3 linked regions of the Lytechinus pictus genome follow. The protein of the gene in region 3 purifies or fractionates together with the protein of the main gene of each other region. This does not show direct contact. Links are inferred from orthologs where the notes say so. Each region holds a gene or a part of one and is shown on either strand. Other genes may lie near its edges.

Region 1 (6,872 bases), about 20 Mb from region 3:
TTCCCCATAAGCATTTATCGAGCGTTTAAAAAATCGTCGAAGTGTCCGATCTTCCCCAAGTGTAGTATCTTTGACCAGACTAAGACTGCCAGGGCCAGGCCTAGAGTTTCAACAGATCTTGAGCGTCTATGCATGATTGAACTCCAAACTTCTAAGACAGTTTTCTCCTTTTTCTATTCTCACTCTGATTCAGGTTTTATTTGATCAAACCCAAAATATTTTAAAGTATAGGATCTGTTTCAACAATTAAAAATTTGTATTTAGCCTCTTATTGTGGGTTTCAATTTGGATGATCACATATAAACAAAATTATACACATGTGCTTACCTCACAGAGAAATCTCTGGCGATGTTTTGGACCAGAGTTGCGAATGTCATAATCGGGAGTTAACTTCTTCTTCCCTAGGAAGCTGTAGAGAAATGATTTCAGCTCACTCATGGTGCCATACAAACACTGCCCTAAAAAAAAGAGAAAAAATGGACATGCCTCATACATGAAGACGGTCTCTCGTTGGAACCACGTACCGGCTCTTTGGAATTTAATTTTTTGATATCAAATCGCAGTTTTAGATTCTATTTCAAATTGGTAAGCTGATTGTTTTCTTAAGTTATAATAGATCTAGGCCTATTAATTTTCATTCAAACGCTTTGTTTTCTCCGTCAAACCTCAAGCATTACAAGCCCAATGGCCGTCATCGGTCTAACTTTATTGACACTGGCAGAGGGGATACTGCGGCGCCGAGCCAAACAAAGTCTCGCTCGGTGCACTCTCACTCTCAGCAGCAGAGCATATCTAATGTTGTAAATCGGATCAAAAATCAGATCGGCAGTTGAGCTTCTAAAATTGAAATCGAATTGAAAATCGAATCGGCGATGTTTAAAAACAAAGGAATACATCAAAATTTTGTTCGCAGTCGCGCGCATCTTCCTGACAAAGTCACAAAGACGAATGCATTGGAATGGAAGTCGCCAACATGCGTGATCGTTTGGAACATGTTTAAGGTTTTGAGGTGTTACTGCTTTAAAATAAACTGAGTGATTTTTATTAGAAAGATAAACGAATGCTGCATCTTCCGAGCAAAGTCGCAAAGGAAAATAAAATGAAAATAATTCTCATAGATCACAGGTCAATGAACAATCGGCGGGACATATCCCTCGCCTAACAGAAAATAGACTTCTAACTATAATCACACAATATTAGTCTTAATCTAACTACTTGTATGATGGTGGTCCCCAAGTCTGTGCACCTAACGATTTGAATTAGGATTTAACATGAATTCATTTTTATTTCACAAAATCTTCATTATCTTTCAGTTGATAATGTTCCTTATATTATTATGATGAGTAAGTGTATGGTTGGAACTACCCTTATCGACCAACTAATTTTCTAAGCATCGTATCTGCAAAAATATTTATTACTTTCACCTAGATTTCCTCTAATTTGTGTAGAAAATTGAGCAGATCAGATTCCCACATTTCGATCGACGACTCAGATTCTATTCGCGTATATATCGGCGAACAACGAATGTGACGATTTTACATTTGCTCATTCGCACCCGTCTTTTGAAACCGACCACCCGCGATACACTAAGTTTACGGCTGATTCTTGTCGCGTTGGCGAAATATTTTGACTCTTCCAAATCAGTTCTATGATGTCAACATGCTAAATGATTGTCTCACTACTTCCACTGCGAGCTCAAGCACATGATTCGACGATTGACGACGGATTTTGTTCTAAAGCCGTTTACTATCAGATTTTTTGGTATGAACAACTGTTTTTCGGCGGGGTTCGGGTCTGGTCAATGCAATTTTGATGAATTCTACTAAATTTTTACATTTTTTGTTGTAAATCGATTCTTACCGTTCCTACGGACACTGCGCCTACTCCCCCTTGCGTATCGTTTGTAATATGCAATAATTTTAATGCGCGCAAGGTGGTCGGTTTCAAAAGAGGTGGTCGATATGTGGTGGTCTCACTCTACCAAATATCTCATAAAATTTTAAAGAAAAATACAGGCGCAGGCGATTCCATTTATTTTGGATCTGTGGAAACACTGTAATGTCACTTGTTCACTGCAACCATCCTGCCTGTGGGGAATCTACAGGTAGGACTATGGTATGCCAATGTTGTACAGAGCACACACTTTAAAAAAATCATTAAAATATCACTTTTGTGACCAAAATTACTAATTTCCATACAGTTGCAATTTATTCTTCATTAGTAACTTGGGAATAATTTTTGTATTCACCAGAGCGCTCAAAAACTTGATTTTTGGGCATATTTTTGTGTACGTCCTCTATTGGTGGAAAGTAGGCAAGAAAATTTTCATTTTTGATCTCTATTTTTAATTAAGAAAAAAATAATTTAAAGAATCAAATTTACTTAAGAGCCAAGTTGTATGAAAAATAGGTGTAATGGAAACTGTCAGTGTAAAAAAATCAAGCATTTGTCCCAAAGAAAAAGAGAAAATAAGCCAAACATTGCCACCCTTATTTTGCCACACATGGAGTAGGGAGTTCGGTGACTTTGAAATCTTGAAGAATCCCAACAAATTTCATATCATTGGAAAGCTTGTAAAATAAGAAAAATATTGGTGCTTCATTCAACTCATTGTCTGATATATTGACGGAGATTATTCTAATTTACAGGGGAAAATATGCAGATTTTGTTCTGTCAAAAAAAATATTAAAGGCTTGGGTGGGGCACTCCTAGTACCAATGAGGTCCAACATTACATGTATGGACCTCATAGGCGACATCAGTAGTATTTTTGGTTAGAAATCTCTGAGAACAGGATATTTAAACATTATATCACAAGTACAAGCTATAATTCCTTTCTCTTATTTAAATTATAATTTTATAGTGTAAATGCATCGTTAGCAACAACAAAAAATGAAAGAAATGAAGGGGAACTTACATTTTCACAGCTTTTTCCTGATTTTCTGGGCAGCTGCTCTTCTCTTCTGACTCGCGATCGAAGCTGATATGAAGATCACGTGATTCGCGTTCTCGTCAGCTGATCGGTTGGTTATTCTTTTCGTCAGACGTTAATAATATATATTTTATAATGCTAGCATTCATCGCTAATTTAGGTGAAAGAGATTGAAGTTAAACAGCGCCAGGTCGGAATCATAATTATTTTGGAAGAGTGTATTTATACACTCGATCTCATACCTGACGTAGACGGCGCTATTCAACAAATGCACAATCTTCAATATAAAAAATAAAACAGAAAGAACGCCTTGAACACAGGCCAAAATGCCTAACGATTTCTCCGCGGCATTAACAACTATCGTAAAGGGCGCTCCATTTATCAATAAAGATGGACGCTAAGCTGTCTATGGCGACAAAATTTGCCGCAAATATTTACGAAGAATTGTGAGAAATGGTCTGAAAATGCAACAAAAGAACCGGTGAGTACCGATTAAACATTATTAAATTTGTAAATAGATTATACATACCTTGTAGATTTAGTTTTTAAGGTGATATTAGTGCTTAGTTCTAAGCTAGGGAGGCCCAAACGCGCGTGAGTGGAGTCCCAGTTTATTAGCACGGGTAAGTATTGGGGTGTCGCCTAGAGTGGGGTGGGGGAGACAGTTTCTTTTTGAAATCTTGAAGGAATCCCAACAAATTTGGTACCATTGGAAAGCTTGTCAAATAAATCAATTCATGTCAAATATTGACAGAGATATGTCTGTTTAAACGGGAGAATGTGCAGATTTTTTTACAGCAAAAAGTAGATTTTCATAACTTACACAAAATGCAATGAATGGGACTGTGTAGGCCTAATACTTTTTTTAAAAGTGCAATGCGCTGCTATGCGGGGCAAGGCATGCCCTTGAACTATACATCATTTTATTCATAGAACTTCAAAGTTTCTCATGGTATACTATAGGTTTCTATAGGGTTTTTCCTCCTCCTTTAATGGCTTCATATTTGTTTTATACATGGGTGCACAGACAGATACAAATTCTGAAAGTCAAAGTGGCATTTCCACCGAACTCCCTAACGTTACATGGAGATATAACCGAGAACAAGGTTATATCATATTCATAACCTTGTTCATTGAATGAGTGTGTAATGTTATTGTTAGAGTCTACACCCCATTCGCTTAGACTTTGCAAAATGCAAGTGATTCACTTCAGCATTTCAGGGATTTTGATGAAAAAGGATGCATTGTTTGTGAGGCTCCACGCCTCCAGTCTCAGTCTCACATGAAATGCCCAAAATTCATTATGTGCAGACTTGGGGAACTTTGCCATACATGTAGTCTACACACTTTCTTTCATTGCACCCAAAGCCAAGGCAAGGCAAAGAAATAAGCACAACATCATACATGTACAACTGCAGCCGGCTTACACTACGCGCAAGCCGTACCCCCATCCATCACATGGCCATGCCAGCCAGCCACGCCGGCGAAACGGAGATCTTGTCATATGGACGCCGCTTGTTTGTCGGAGCCTGGTGCGAAAGTGCATTAGCGCCATTAAAAATTAGACAACATTTTTATTGAATAGAAATCTATAAAAATAATTATTAAATACCGAACTCACGAATCAGCAACTCAAGAAAAGTATAAAGTCTCTAGAGTAGTCCAAATAAGAGTACTTTCACAGATTATGTCTTGATTTGTGATGTTTTCTCTCTTCGAGATCTAGTTCAGTGGCCTCGACCTCCAATCGCCATGTAAGGTCACGTCGTTAGAGGGCGTTTTATGTTTCATGACGAGATATATGGAGGTGCCGTGGCCGAGTGGTCTAAGGCGCCTGGCTATACAAGGAAAGTCCGGGGTTCGATCCCCGGCTACGACACCTATGCTCTTTTATCCTGCATTCAAATAGACGGAAATGCTTTACGCGTTATTTGTAACTAGGTGTGCACTTGTTAAAAAAAAAAAAAAATATATATATATATATATATATATACCGTATATATATATATATATATCCACAAAAGTGGAGGTGCCGTGGCCGAGTGAGTCCGGGGTTCGAACCCCGACCGCGGCACCTATGCCTGTGAGCAAGGTATTTAATGTGTAATGCTCTTTTATCCTGCTTTAAAATAAATGGAAATGCTATAGGCATTATTGGTAACTTGGTGTGCACTTGTTTTTAAAAAATATATCCACCTCTTGATATATTACATATCTATTCTATATATCATAGCTCTTTTATACTGCATTCAAATAAATGGAAATGCTATACGCATTATTGGTAACTAGTTTACTTGTTTAAAAAAAATATATATGATCGATATCTCCATGGACCATTCTGACGAGATTGGCGACAAATCAGCGCTTTGCGTATCACGAAGGCATTTTTTTGTTTTATTAAGTTGTTATTTATTGAATTCATTCAATACACCCATTCAATACAATATCGCTTTTTTTCTTAGTAACATAAGAAAAAAATAAATAATATATATACATAGTTGTTTTATCCTTCATTTGACTTGTCTTCAGGGGCGGTATATTCTAAGAGCACAATAGCGCTCACATATGCGATCCGGCCGGTGCGACGCGATTTTTCAAAAAAAAAAACGCGATTAAAAAAAAAAAAAAAAAACACGCATATATGCATCAAATATGAAAGTTCCAAGAAGTAAAATTACTTTAAATAAAGTTTTGCATATCGTTAGGAAAACTAAAATCACTGTTTTACTTTGCGGCAAGCCCTTTGGTCGGAGTAAAGTCCAAATCGGCTTCAAGTCACAGCCAATGATGACGTCATTATACGATTTGGAATTGAATTTCATTCATTCAGGGATCGCGTCGAGGCTCTAACTGGACTGAATTTCGATTTCAGAAGCCACTACTGTGAAGTCTGATCCGTAATATTAGTTGGAATATCCATATCAATTGTTGGTTATCACAATCAATTTCGGATCGTGTGAGACGAGCTTTAGCGGTCAATTAGCATTTTGGTGTGTCCCTCGGCTTTTTTATATTTGGCAAGGGTGACAATGACCGAAACAATGACAATAACATTTATTCCCACGGTCACCAATAGAGTGGGTACTGATTGGAGAAACAATCATAAAAATGTACAAAATCATCAATGTCATTTCATCAAGTAATTTGCCAATCATTTAGAGTAAATTTAAAAAAAGATCAATAAAAAATACAAATTTTAGCATTAAAAATTATAGTAACAAATGATATAGTACCCTGAAGCTTCAAAAACATATGATTAAAAAAAGAAAGAAAAATTCCAAATAACGACATCATCACATCGTTGGCTATTAAACCACAGTCAAAAAGCTCAAAATATCATATTTCGAGCGTAGCAAAGTTTAGAAAATTTGATAATTAGGCCTACATGAGATAATGGATTAATGCCTTGAAGCTTAAAAACCCAGCTTTTTAAAATTGTAATTAGCATATGCATCTGTCTAATAAAAGGCAAGTAATGGCATCAGCATATTATTGGCTCCAATATTCAATTAACAGCTCAAAATATTGAATTTGGAGCGTAACTTATTGAGAAACGAAGCATAATTTTCCTGCAATTTTTTCAAGGTTGGAACGGATTTCTGGTTTTTCACAATTAAAATGGCTGATTCATTTTTACAGTATTCGGTCTTTCAGTGTAATATTTTTTTAAGATGAAACTTTCTTTCTTTAGCAAAAGAAGGACATTAAACGAATAGATAGTGAAATTCATCACCAATTGATTGAAGGTTGCATAATGTACAAAACCTTAATATGTTCCTTTGACGATTTTCATATCTTCCTGAGGCAAAAGGGTGTCGATGATTTCCAAAACGAAATCTACAAAAACGCGATTCTATCTTTTTTTATTCATATTGATGAGGTAACTTTCTAGACGAAGATTTTCTTTGAATATATAGTAGTTAACACACTGAGAGTTTTCG
Region 2 (6,872 bases), on a different chromosome or scaffold from region 3:
TAATTGATACTCCCACCTAAAATAAGCATTTTACTAGCTCTATAAAATGAGTTAAAGGCAAATACATACACAAAAAACAAAATTTATGGCAAATTTCATATGCTTATTTGCATAATTAATAAAAAATATTACAAATTTTTTTTTTGAAAATTTTACTATACACTCTTGTAGTTTAAATCCGGCTCTACGCGCTTGCAATTTTTTGCGGCAATTGCGCAATCAGCGGTCGAGATCTATATACTGGTCCGAAATAGCCCAGTTATGATAGGGTTAAGACAAATAAAAATGAAATTCTTATGCACACAAATCCAATGGGAATATCAAAACTCTGTGATAAAGTAATCTAAACTGCACAGGAGCTAAATCCCCCAGTATACTGTAGCACATTTGTTGGGTCAGGTTAGTATTACTAACGTCCTACCTTGCACATTTATATTACAAGTGTGAATGTGGCCTCGGATTAATCTAAGCCCTGAAATGACACTTCATATTCCAGCTTATTTGATAGTGTGGGGACACTCACCCTCTGATCCTGACGACAAATGCTAGTCTGGGTTCATCTTCAACATAGAAGTTTCCATGCTTGCGAGCCTGGCGATGAAGACGTACAGCGTCACGCTCACGCTTCTTGTACTCCCTGATGTAGTCTTCTGCACGCTTGAAGATCACACGTCTCTTCTTGGCATTCTCCTGTAAGTTTAAGATTTTTTAATCCTTAGTTTAAAGCCTGTCTTGTGTTTCTTTAAATCCCATTCCACTATTCCAATTCATGACGAACATGGATGCCCTGAAAAAGTTGATGTGAAGGATAACACAAAGCTCAGCAATGATCGTAGAACATCTTTCTACGATTGATTCCATTCGCTACAATGTATAATCAACTGTAGAAATCAAGCGTACGATTAATCGCTAACCTTTGTGTTACGGGACTTTAAATTTTTACATCAAAATTCAATTTTGATCGGGTACCCAATCAAAATAAATATTACTTCTTTTTATAAAACCACTCGCTCCTAGATACATACAATGCAGCCCCCAAAATAGTGTTCTTGAGACTATGATGAAATTTTAGATTTGGCAAACCAAATTCATTATAAAGCCTAAAAATACAAAAAGTTAATATTTCACCTTCTTGGCAAGGAGGCGAGCTTGTGCCCTCTTAGCCTTCTCAGTTTGTCGGTTCTTCCTCTTCTTCAGAAGGGATTCTGGTGCCGTTGGCAGCTTCTTTGGCGCACTATAAGAAATAAAAATGAATGACAAACAATTATATTTTAAAATCACAAATCAGATCATCCTGGGGTGACTTGCCATTTATGAATCATGCAGGATTATCATAAAGGATCACTTGTCATGCAGAACTCAAGAACAAAAATACAATAGGCCAATCGACCTTAGGGAGATTCCAAGCAAAAGCGGACATTTTCCCAAAATTTATGGAAGTTCATAAATACAAAGGGGCATCATAATAATAATTAGCCTAAATTTTCTTTTTACACATCTCCTAATAGGAGAATCAGAACCATACAAAAAATGACATCGAAGAGACTACAGGATCTACACAGAAGAGGCGCACGCCGTACGGCCAATATCAGAGACTTTTCTAAAGAATTTGGGTATCCAATTTCATGGACAGTCTCCAGTTTGGGAGACCAATTTTCTTTGTTTACATATGCTGCAAAAGGATTACCTTGGCAGCAAATAAAAATGTGAAAAGCAGATTCCTCATGAAAAATTACCCCTTTTCACCGTCTACTTTAAAAATTCATCGTCTAGACCTCTACTTTTGTTTTTATAAGGATTTTTGTTGTCATCCACACACAAAATGGGCTTCTGACCTCAGTGGGACAAAATTTCAGATGGAAAAAAATCATACTTTTGTTGGTGTTGTTTCTTTTGTTCTTTTGCAAAGTCTCCAATATGGGAGATCGTCTCCCTAATATTGGAGAGTCTCCATTATTGGCCGTGTGCCTCTACTGATCTACAGATACCAGTATTTCATTTTACTCAATTTCAATTGAACAGAAAGCTATTGTTAGGGTGTCTGGAGAAAAAAGTTATTTTTCTTATTTCAAGAAAATATCACATTTTCTTTGTGAATTTTAATGGAAATAACCTTCAGACTGACAGAAATGTAATTTTTTTTGTAGATCTAGGGGCCTAATGGTTGCAAAAAAGAATGAAATCAGGTAAATTTTCAGCATTTTCCTGCCATAGACTGTGTAGTTAAGAAATGGACACACACAAATCCAAATTTTTTTATTCTGAGAGCTGCTATAAATAAATGTATTCTTGATGCCAAAAACTTGCCCAAAGTGCCTACTAGGAATTTTGATGCTCTTTCTGATGGTATGATTTTTTAAATGATTTGGAAATCAGATCACAATGAAAATTGCGGCAAAGTGAATAAAATTGTGCCAAACAGAAATTCATTTTCCCATAGTTAACGCATGAGGTCATTCCATCTGGATTCACCCAGTGGTTGCACCCAACCCTCTCAAGTTTTTATTGTAAATTGGTACACATAAAATTCCCCATGGCCCAAGCACAAAACAAAAAATTAGTCCAATCGGTCCGTCGGTTCTCGCGCTACGGCCCGCCCTTTTCTCCTTGTTTTGACAAAAATGGGCGTGACCTTCAACTTTCAATGGCCATTGCATCGTAACGTATTGACAAATTTTCACGAAGCTGGTACCATTCAAAAGGAAATTAAGAGGAATCCAAAACATGCATCAAATAATGTATTGGAGCGATTATAAGGTAATGACCTTTGACCTTTACTTCGACCCCCGGACAAATAATTCTTAAACATGATTTTCGTGTATGTTGATTATTAGTATAATATTGACAAAATATGTTAAAACCAATGACGATATTTTATTTCTTCACCTTTTAAAACTCTTCCAAAGATACCAAATTATCTGATCTGAAATTTCACCCTAGTCCCACATACTGATATTCATGTTAGAAAAGCGTTTACCAGTCCCATGATACATGATTTCTTCCAATTTTAGTTACACTTACAGTATGCAAACAGATGAAAAGAACTAAGCTCATGATTTAACAAATGAAACATTAAACATTTATGCTCATGAATAGGTATCTGTTTAGGTATTTTGATGTTGGGCAATATATAATAACTCAGTCATAATTAGAAAACTGCTGGGAACTGCAATATCTGTTTTCTAGTAAGCTGTACTCCCCCAAAGTGGGAAATGGTAATCTCAACACACACACAAATAAGGGTTTGCAATTTATCTCTAAATCATTATTTAAAATGATCATATAAACTTGCCCTTACAACTGTACTGTCAGAAGTCCCTGAATTTTCTCTTTCCATACATCCCAAAGGCCAAACATTAGTTAGAAATGAATTCAGATCGCAATTCAGCAGCCTAAATTTCCCGAAAAAATGTGCCATATTTTCCCCTAAATCAGCCTGTTTTGCTGACACTTTTCAGTGTGGCTTCAGTTCAGACACCCTACTCTTTTGTTTTTTTTGAAATATTCAGTTGGATATATTGTAGTCTTCTTACTCTTAGACTCTATAAGACTATATTCTGAAGGAGTGAAGGTCGACTTTATCGTGATATTACTTAGCTAGTCACCTCTCTTCTCGTGTGCGTGCACTCGGTGTGTACTACAAGGTCAATGGGAGTTGAAAGAAGTCACCAGCGCTGACAAAATGAACGGCAGTGAATGAACTGGTGGGTGTTTCATAAAGCTGTTCGTAAGTTAGAGGGACTTTAAGTTTAAGAACGACTGGCGATCCTTTCTTGTAATTGGTAGGCCCTATCACCAGTAGAGGCGCACGGCCAATATGGGAGACTCTCTCCAATAGGGGAGACAATCTCCCACATTATTTGGAGACTTGCTTTGCAAAAGGACAACAGAAACAACACTAACAAAAGCATGATTTTTTCCACCCAAAATTTTGTCTCACTGAGGTCAGAAGCCCATTTCTTTGTTTTGTGTGTGATTAACAACAAAAATCCTTATCAAAACAAAAGTAGACGGTGAATATTTAAAGTAGACGGTGAAAAGGGGTAATTTTTCATGAGGAATCTGCTTATCACATTTTTATTTGCCGCCAAGGTAATCCTTTTGCAGCAAATGTAAACAAAGGAAATTGGACTCCAAAACTGGAGACTGTCTTACAAAAGTCTCTGATATTGGACTCTTGGAGTTGGAGATAATCTCCCACATTGGAGACAGTCTCCAATATTGGCCGTGCGCCTCTACTGATCACCATTAAATATTCATTGGTGATTATCAAATGCGTAAGATATGATCACCACTAGACACCAGTCGTTCGTGAAGTCGCTCTTAACTTACATTACAAACAGCTTTTTTTTTAGGCCCCTAATCATTCATAGACATTGTTAATGACGACTGACGTTAATGTTATTGACTTTGTGTAGGACAAAACTAAAAAGTCATAAGTCACAACCATGATGAACGTCAACGAGCGCACACACACGAGAAGAGGTGACTTATTTCAGGATAAGGCCCATCATTATGCATCATATCATAATATCATAATAAAGTGAAATGCCTGCCCATGACCATGTACCGTACGCGACCGTACACACACTGCATCGTTCTTGGGTTCCGTACGGGTGCTCTTCGGCCTAAGCTAATTCATTGGTGTGAACATGTAACACAAAATTTAGAAAAAATAGTTCAACATCAATGGAAATATTTTGAGTGCATTGATCATGATCATTTCAAGCATAAGAACCAACGGTACAATCTGTAAAATAATAAAGGATTAACTGGATTTGAGGAGATTGTTCAAGGGAATACTCTTTTCGTACCTATCTGCCATGTTGGACCAAGTCGAAAAGGACTCTATTCATTGGGTAAATTTTGTACTTAGGTGGCGCTATTTTTTCCCCAACAACCATGTTTAACAGTCATGGCATCATGGACAGTGCGTATCAAAAAAAAGTTTACACTTTGAAAAAATCCTGTAAAATTATACATTTGTAATATCCTGAAGATTTTTCCACATTTTAACATTGGTACAGATCCATTTAAGCAAATGACGATATAACTGTCGAAAAATATTTCTGCTTGAGTGAGCACCACTTACTTTTGAAAAATTAGTGAAAAATGATTTGCCAGAACTTTGAAATAGTTATGCGAATAAAAGTAGACCTTAATCATGAAGAACACGTGGAATTTAGCTAGTAAAATTGATTTGAAGATATCTTTTACCATTCTTGACTTGTTTCTTTGCCCAAAACACTTCAAAAAGTGCATTTCAACCCACCCCACACACCGAGGCCATCGTGACGATATTTGCTTTACACTGAGCTGTGATTTACATGAAATGGCTTAGGCTTGATTTTCATTTTGTTAATCATTGTCAAGCTTGGGAAAAGTGTGGAGCACTAGCGTACCTACGGGGGGGGCAGGGGGGGCACTCTGCCCCCCCTGACGAGATTTTGAAGACCTTTTTTTTTTTTTTTTTTTTTTTTTTTTTTTTTTTTTTGCTTGTCAAATTTTTTCTGGTACGAAAATCTTTATTTTGTATTGATGACCCCTTTTTTTTTTTTTTGCTTGACAAATTTTTTCTGGTACGAAAATCTTTATTTTGTATTGATGACCCCTTTTTTTTTTTTTTTTTTTTTTTTTTTTTTTTTTTTTGCTTGTCAAATTTTTGGGCGGCCAATTTTGCCCCCCCTGTGAAAAATCCTAGGTACGCCACTGGTGTGGAGAAACAAGTATTAAATGAAAAATGAAATGTAAACCCACTTTAAATGATAAAAACTTAGTGAAAAAAAATGCAAGCGTGCAGCCCCAACCAAAATTGTTATTGTTGTAATTATATTACCTAAAAGTTGTTCTCTACCCTTTTCCTGTCCCTGGTCAGCCCAGTCCGTCCTCACTATCGGTACAGAGAGCTTTGAAAGTCGCATTGCGTAAAAATCACAATTTACCGATAAAAGTGTACAGTTTAATTGACATATACCGACCAAGATGGTGAAACTAAAAACCGAATCAGTTGGAACAGCCCTGTGTGCCCGACAGTTTATCATTTTTTTCCGACATACTGCAGTCCAGTTTTTGTTTCCCCTTTCGCTTATACTATTCCTTCTTTTTCCCCTTCCCCCTTTTTTCTCTCTTTCCTTTTTTCCTCTTTTCTTTCCCTTTTTCGCTTCCTTTTTTTTTGCTTGTGACTCGTCAGGGGGGGCAGTCTGCCCCCCTGCCCTCCCCCCCCCCTCAGGTACGCTAGTGGTTGGAGGACTGAAAAGCTCAAATTTTGAGGTCTCCCAACGAATAATGTGGATTAAACGTGTGCTAGACGGAGAGCCAAAGTTCGGGTTGGAAAGCAACCTTCGAATATTTTTTATTAGTTCTTTGGGTGGTCGAATCATACTTCTGTATAATTATGATACCAGTAAAATGAATTTGAAAGGTATACCATTATTTTACATAGAAATGCTGAAGGCATGGTACGAATTGGATAAATGTAGACATTTGGAGGGAAAAGTAATACCATTATTTTTAATAACAAGCGTATATGCCTCAATAATAAGACCTTTTTTTATAATGAATTATTTCAGAAAGGTATAGTTAAGGTCTCGGATATAATAGTTGGAGGTCAATTAAGACCAGTTTCATATTGGTATAATCTGAAATTTTCATCTGAAAACTTGCTCAGAATTCAAATTTTTTTAGTAATAACAAAAGAGTGGATACAGGTGATTGTATGGAAGTGGATACAGACAACTTTAAAATTGAATTGATGATATTTGGGCATGTTCAGAAACTATGTAATATAAAATCTAGACGAATATATGACCACTAATTGAAAAATGTCAAAATGATTATGTATTTCATGTTACAGATGGGCAATCCGAATATGA
Region 3 (6,872 bases):
AGTGACAATATCAACTGAAATTCGTAATAATCTAAATTACATTGCCCAAGCCAGTAACCCACGATACCCCTCTCCCCTCACTTGTTTTTGAGAGTATTTACTACCATTTTAAAGACGTAAATAATGTGAGCAATGCGATACGCAAATGCGAGGTAAACATCTTCGCACTTCCCACAAAAGAGATTGGGCCTCGAGTCGAGGTCGTATCGTATATAGCGCACTAGTAGTAGTGAGTGAGAAATCCCGGGAAGGAATCGTGGACGAAATAATCGACAAGTTTACTTTAGGATCTGAAAAGCAGATTATTTTTTTATATATTATTCAGTTTTTGTGTAGATCTAGGCCTGCTTTACAGTTGTCGGCCACGGTTGTCGGGGAAGTTCAGGGTTGGCGGATTTGCCCTGAAAATTTTCAGGCTTGGCGGCGCCCGCCAATCGTGACGCGTGGTAGTGTAAAGATTGTTTGAAGGAAGAGAATTTAAAATTCCACCAATTTACTGTGAAGAATTTTTCTCTCAGAAAACAAAGTCAGTTTTTTTGGTTACTCACGTTACATCACCTGAGCAGGTTGCAATATTTATTTTTGAACAAGTACTACAAATTTAATTGAAAATATGTTGTGTATTTTAAGTAATTTGACTCTTCTATCAGAAATATATAAAGTGGTATGATGTTGCAATAACAAAATGGTAATAAGGCATATTTAATTTTTCACTATATTTCTTGTATTTTTGTACAGAGTGGAAGACACAACTTTTGACCATTTTTTTCCAAAGTATACATATGAAAATAATCTTTTTAATTTTTGTTCCTGAAACCATCATGTATGAAGGACTTAAAGTATTTAAAAATTCAAGAAAATATTGAATTTGAGAATTTGAATTTTTAAGCTCATGTCCACCAACCTATGGAATTGCCCCAATGAGTTTTGATACAATTCTGTTGCGTGCCCTCGCAAATCAAGATATTTCTGGTTATTTTCCTAAGTGGGCAAGACACAAAATCGCTTTTGCCTTGTTTGTATTTGTGGCAGTTTTATTTTTTTTGCTCAAAATAGAAAGATTTTATCAATTTTATATCATCAAAACATGAATAAATCCTTCATAAGTGGTTACCACTTTGCCCCCTACTCCATTTTCACCACATGATTTTGTTTTAATCATTGATTTAAATCACTTCCATTGAAATATGTACATGTGCAATGTACAACTCCAGGTTTATTGTACTAAATAAACTTGCAACTTTTTCCCAATAAGTCATAGCTTTGCAAATCAATGCTTTAAACAATCAAAAAGCTCCAAACATGGCTCAAATGCCAAAGGAGGTTTAAACAAACAAAGAGAAATGGAGTTTTCTCTATTAAACACATGATTTTCAGTCCTTGGCTTGAAAATCAAGAATGTTTCTCTTTCAAGAATGTGAGTCTCTGAGTCATGGAATTCTTCCAAAGAAACTGATCCTCATTTCATGTTTGAATAGGAACACTAACTTTGCAGTATTAGCTGTACCAAGGCAGTTCCTCAACTTGGACCAAACCAGTCAGTAGGAGCTCCCAACACGAGAGGATGCAGAAACAGCATCTTCGTCATGACTTACAATATGTTCTATATAAATTCTATTTTGACTGTCTTTAATTATGAAATAGAATAGAAGTTAATAATAATTTTAGTTGTGAAATGTATGATTTTGAAATGTATGATTTTGAGTTAAGTGTAAGGGTTTTATTTTTAGTCTTTCCACTTTGTTTTAGAAAATATTGTTTTAAAAAAAAAAAAAATTAAATCCAATTTTTTTTTATTAAAAAAAAAAAAAAAAAAAAAAAATTGTCAACCCTAAAAGAGAGAATAGAGAGAAAGACAAAAACGAAATAGATCTACGGAAAAAAGGAAGTAAGAAAAATGAAAGAAAGAAAAGTAAGGAAGAAGGAAAGAGAAATGAAGGAAATAATTTCTTAAAAGTTCAAATGGAAAGAAAGAAGGGAAAAAATAAAAAGTAAAGAATGAAAAGAAAAGAAGCTAGGGATGGAAATAAAAAAAATAAAAACAGGAAGGAATGAAAGACAAAAAAAAAAGGTACCGTGTAAGAATATGATTTGACAACTCATAATACCAGTGCAGTACCAGGTACAAGTACCGGTATCATCACATCACAACAGCGATTTTCACAAAGTGACTGGTGCACCACTAAATGTGCGTGTTGACTGCGGATCTCTACATGTAGCCTGGCTTTTGGCCTGGCCAATACGCTGCACCGTGATGATATTCAAAAGCTCTCACATAATTCCATTGCAATTTTGCTTTGCAATTGTAGATTTTGATACAACCTTCGTAGATACTTTTCAAACACCTAACCTTGGTTAGTCGTTTTAGGTATATGAATTCTTTGATTTGTGAATATGAAATCGTAATGTTTTTGTGAATTTTGGAAGTTGCAAGTGTGATTAACGTTGGCAGTAGAGGGCATGCGCATCACCCGTAATGAGAGTAAAGCGAAAGTTCCTCGTGTCATAAAAGTGCTACGTCTTGTCTGCGTGCTCCCAAATCCGTAGGGAGGCAGTACTCAATATGATCCGCAAATTTTGCCCATGTTTTTAGAAAGCAGACAGCACACACTTGCAAGTATGGCTGGTTGAGACCAAGCTTTTAAGCAAAATAGAGCCGTAAATACAATGTGGGTAAAATGGATAATACATAAAACTAAATTGGCTGGATTTCACCTCGTACAGAAAATTGAGGTAAAGAATTACATTTTCATATATATGAGAATGTGATCTCTTGTTAAAATTTGAAACAAAATTCTTTTTAAAGATGTTGGTCAAACTTCATTAATCTACATGTAGGCCTATTATTTATATTGGGTAATGTTTCTTTTGCATCAATACCTCTGGTTCTCTTCTTGTATTGTTATTTTACATGTACCATCTTGGCATGTTGTTTCACTTTTTCTTATTGATTTTTACACACACTAGCTGTTTGTTTTACTTTTTAATATGTAAATGTAAATTTTGAAAATTGTTTTATTCAATAAAATGCCTACATGTAGCTGTGAAGGGGGGGGGGCGTACTCGAGAAACAAACTAGTGTCTGTTTACTGAAAGCAGTGTAACAGTTTTAAATGAAATAACTAGATAACTCTGGCCTCAACATGCATGTAATCATGTGGTAAACACCATATTACTCCCACCATTCACATGTAAATTGAAATATACTAGAAACTTGTGAGCTATCCATTCCTTTATTTCAGAGTTCTCAAACTATGTTTAAGTACATGTTCGTCAAACCCATTTACAGATCCATTTTATCCTGTTCCATTTTCTGTTCTCTTTTTTCACCCAGGCTATGATGATTTTATTTGAACATGCATCAGGCTACGGCTTGTTTGCAGTCAAGGAGTTTGAGGAGGTCTCTGTCCTTCATCACCAAGTCCAGGAATCTGTGACAGACTTTGGCAAGTTTGCCTCTCTGATCAAGCTTCAGGCCTTCTCGCCTTTCAAATCAGGGGTCAACGCACTTGACAATATCAACAGCATCTCAGAAGGTAAATTTTGCCAATAATTTTTTTTTTTTTTTAATAAAAATAAAAATGAAAATGTTGATACTGATTTTGTTTAATAGCATTTCCTATACTTGATGTTTTGATAATACACAATGTAGCTCTTGCTCAAGGACATAAAAGCTGTGTTGTGGTTGAACCCCAACTTCCATTACTTGATCATGATGGCACAGACTCTAGGAAGTTCGTTCAACAGAGAAAGAAGCAATGAATAAAAAATTTAGAGCCTGTAGTGAAGTATATTTTGCAAATCATCAGGTGGTAGTATTTTGGTTGAGTTTTGTTGAAGACATGTGCATGGTCTGTGGCAGGAAATTACTGGAAATTTTACAACAGATCGATTCCTATTTACTTACAACAATGTGAATGATATTCGCCCTTCGATTCAGGCCTCTCAATCATTCTGAATTTGGAGGAAAGAATGTGATCTTTTTTTGCCATTTTGAGCCCCTGTTTGAGACAATTTTCCTACGTTTCTTGATAACTTTACTACACGATCCTATGAAAACTACTGTTTCCTGATTTTTTTAGCAAGATCATTCCTATTTTTCTTTAAATTGGTCAAGAGGTATGTTGATACCCTAGAAAATATAACCTCTTTTTTTGTGTTCTTTTATTGTGTCTCAGGTGTGATGACAGAAGACCTGAAACTCTTCCTGGAGACCAACATGCCAGAGAGCTCTAAGAAGAGGAAGAAGATCACATTGGGTGTGGCCGATGGGAAGATAGGTGCTTCTATCCAGGAGGAACTAGGTATCCCCTGTCAGACGGGAGGAGTCTTCCAGGAGATCGCAAGAGGTAAAAACTTTCTAATAGGGGACTGTCTTCAAAGGATGTCAAATGCACAGTGGAGGCATGTGATAGATCATAGATTAATCTTGAGCCTTGGCATTAGAATAAAAACAAATTGAAATGGTATTTTATGTTTTGATAAATTTTGACTTGATCTATCAGGCAGTGAGATCAATTAGAGATATCAGTAAGTATTTGTTCTTTGACAGCATGTTTGTGGTAAGGATGTTCTCAAGGAGAGAAACACAAAAAAATACTACATATTCAAATCGCCAAAATAAATTCTGGGAGCTATGAATAATTCAGACCTGTTGATGTTATTGACTGTGGCTCTTCGCCAGTAAATTATGTAAATTGAAAAGAGCATTAATTATCAAAATAGTAACCACATTCCTTTTTTTTTTACAAGGTCTGAGGTACCATTTCTACAGACTGGTCAAGGGACTGACCGCTCAGACAGAGGCTAAAGCACAACTTGGTCTAGGTCACAGCTACTCAAGGGCAAAGGTCAAGTTCAATGTGAACAGAGCAGATAACATGATCATCCAATCCATCTGTTTGCTTGATCAACTGGATAAGGATATCAATACATTTTCAATGAGAATCAAGTGAGTATTGTGTTGGGCTGTACATTGTGACAATATGTTAAAATATCACACTTAAATGAGTAGACAATACTGGGTAGACTACATAAAGGTAAACTTGCGTAAAGTCAATCTTCCATATGGCGAATATATGCATTAAAGTGATTGGTTAACATTGTTTTGACTTTTAAAAAATCTGAGCTAGAAGGTCACACTTGTCACCTGTGTCTGTGATATGTTACAAAAATGAAGCCCAGAAAAAATTGCGTTCGAAAATAATTATTTAGTGCTTCAAAAATTGAAATATAAAGTGACCAGAAACACCATCTTAATTTCATCCCATACACTTATGTGTACTATTTAGGCGTCTATTAGACACCCATTTACAAAATCGGGGTTTGCCTTGTAGTTTTAGCTTTTCATTCTCAATAACGGCTGTTTTCAGGGTTTATTAGTTCTAATACATGCACTTGTACACATGTTTCATCTTGGTTTGAGAATTTTTTAAATAGGCTGCTCACAAAGTTAAACAATACCTTTAAGCCGAAGCAGTTTCTTTGACAGATTTCGCAAAACACATGTCTTAGGAGCCACTTTTGTACTTATTCAAACATATGTCTGGGGCCCCCAATAGATTAAGTTGTTATAATAAATAATTGGAGTCTATCATTATGTTTCAGACATAAAAACCTGAGCTTAAATTGCTATAATAATAATAATAATAATAGGCATTTATATAGCGCCATCTATCTAGAAATATTCTATTCCGAGGCGCGTTGTTATTATTATTATTACCCCGGCTTTAGCTCGAGCTGCCTTTCAGCGCTTATGCATTCAAGGAATTAATCCTGCCGGGTACCCATTCACTTCACCTGGCTCGAGTGCAGCACAATGTGGATGATTTTCTTGCTGAAGGAAATTACGCCATGGCTGGGATTCGAACCCACGACCCTCTGTTTCAAAGTCAGAAGACTTATCCACTGGGCAACAACGCTCCACATGATAGTTAATCATAAATCATGGTCATCCATAGTACATTGCACTAGGGTCCATGGGATAGGGTCATCAAATTGTCCCTCTTAACTTATATTTTACATTTCCCTGGTAATATACATTATTGTCTGTTTGCCACCTAGTAATGTAAGTATGGTTTGCTGACCCTGTTTAACATTCATAGGGGATGATTATCATCTTGTCATTACTATATTATAGAATACACAATTTTTTTAAATCATCATGCCACCCTGTGCTTTATGATATATCCTTTAGTAAGATATTAATTTGCATTTGCCACCCTTTACCCATGTGTAATAAGGAGCTGGTGTATTGAATTTATCAAATGGTTAATGCTGAAATAAGTTGTCTAACTCTACATGTAGCTTCAGGTGTGATTGGTAGATCGCCCCCAAGTTGTTTGGATATGTACAATAAGTCTATACAAAATATATTGCTTTGTGATTTAAATATTTACCTTGAATTCTTTTACCCTTCCAGAGAATGGTACTCCTATCACTTTCCAGAACTTGTCAAAGTAGTTCCAGACAACGCACTCTACGCCAAGGTTGCCCACTTCATCAAGAACCGTAAGGAGCTTACTGATGAATCTCTTGAAGCCCTGGAGGAGTTGACCATGGACAGTGGTAAAGCTCAGGCCATCTTGGATGCATCACGCTCGTCTATGGGTCAGTATCTTATCATTGTGAATTCGATTCTTTGTTTGGCATGTAAAAGGGCAATATGGCTAATGTTATCATTTTCTTATAGAGGGTTAAAAGCCCTTTCTGGTGATGTCTTCAAAATTATGAAAAGTTCTGTATTTTTCCAGAAATTTGTTTTAAAGAAAGGGCAAATCGCTCCCAAATGCCACTTATGGCTAAAAGAAGGGGAATATTGAGCATGCCCTTATTCCACCCAGAAAACTGGCAAAGACATAGGCTGTAGAGAG

What was found.
Region 1: the proteins of nucleolar protein 56-like (region 3) and ATP-dependent RNA helicase A-like purify together in Homo sapiens (affinity purification with mass spectrometry; 3 studies listed by BioGRID and IntAct, with this or other methods). This does not show direct contact. The link is inferred for Lytechinus pictus from reciprocal best matches to the Homo sapiens genes NOP56 and DHX9.
Region 2: the proteins of nucleolar protein 56-like (region 3) and large ribosomal subunit protein uL30-like purify together in Homo sapiens (affinity purification with mass spectrometry; 3 studies listed by BioGRID and IntAct, with this or other methods). This does not show direct contact. The link is inferred for Lytechinus pictus from reciprocal best matches to the Homo sapiens genes NOP56 and RPL7.

The regions. Positions count from the first base shown.
Region 1 is NC_087256.1:29,479,362-29,486,233, reverse strand, and holds the start of ATP-dependent RNA helicase A-like, read right to left. Parts: upstream 4,706-6,872; 5' UTR 4,544-4,705; intron 459-4,543; 5' UTR 439-458; coding exon 328-438; intron 1-327. UniProt on the Homo sapiens protein: Multifunctional ATP-dependent nucleic acid helicase that unwinds DNA and RNA in a 3' to 5' direction and that plays important roles in many processes, such as DNA replication, transcriptional activation, post-transcriptional RNA regulation, mRNA translation and RNA-mediated gene silencing.
Region 2 is NC_087245.1:41,426,282-41,433,153, forward strand, and holds the start of large ribosomal subunit protein uL30-like, read right to left. Parts: upstream 4,869-6,872; 5' UTR 4,826-4,868; coding exon 4,815-4,825; intron 1,235-4,814; coding exon 1,129-1,234; intron 691-1,128; coding exon 524-690; intron 1-523.
Region 3 is NC_087256.1:9,010,598-9,017,469, reverse strand, and holds the start of nucleolar protein 56-like, read left to right. Parts: upstream 1-3,338; 5' UTR 3,339-3,340; coding exon 3,341-3,536; intron 3,537-4,178; coding exon 4,179-4,349; intron 4,350-4,752; coding exon 4,753-4,951; intron 4,952-6,421; coding exon 6,422-6,609; intron 6,610-6,872. UniProt on the Homo sapiens protein: Involved in the early to middle stages of 60S ribosomal subunit biogenesis. Required for the biogenesis of box C/D snoRNAs such U3, U8 and U14 snoRNAs. Part of the small subunit (SSU) processome, first precursor of the small eukaryotic ribosomal subunit.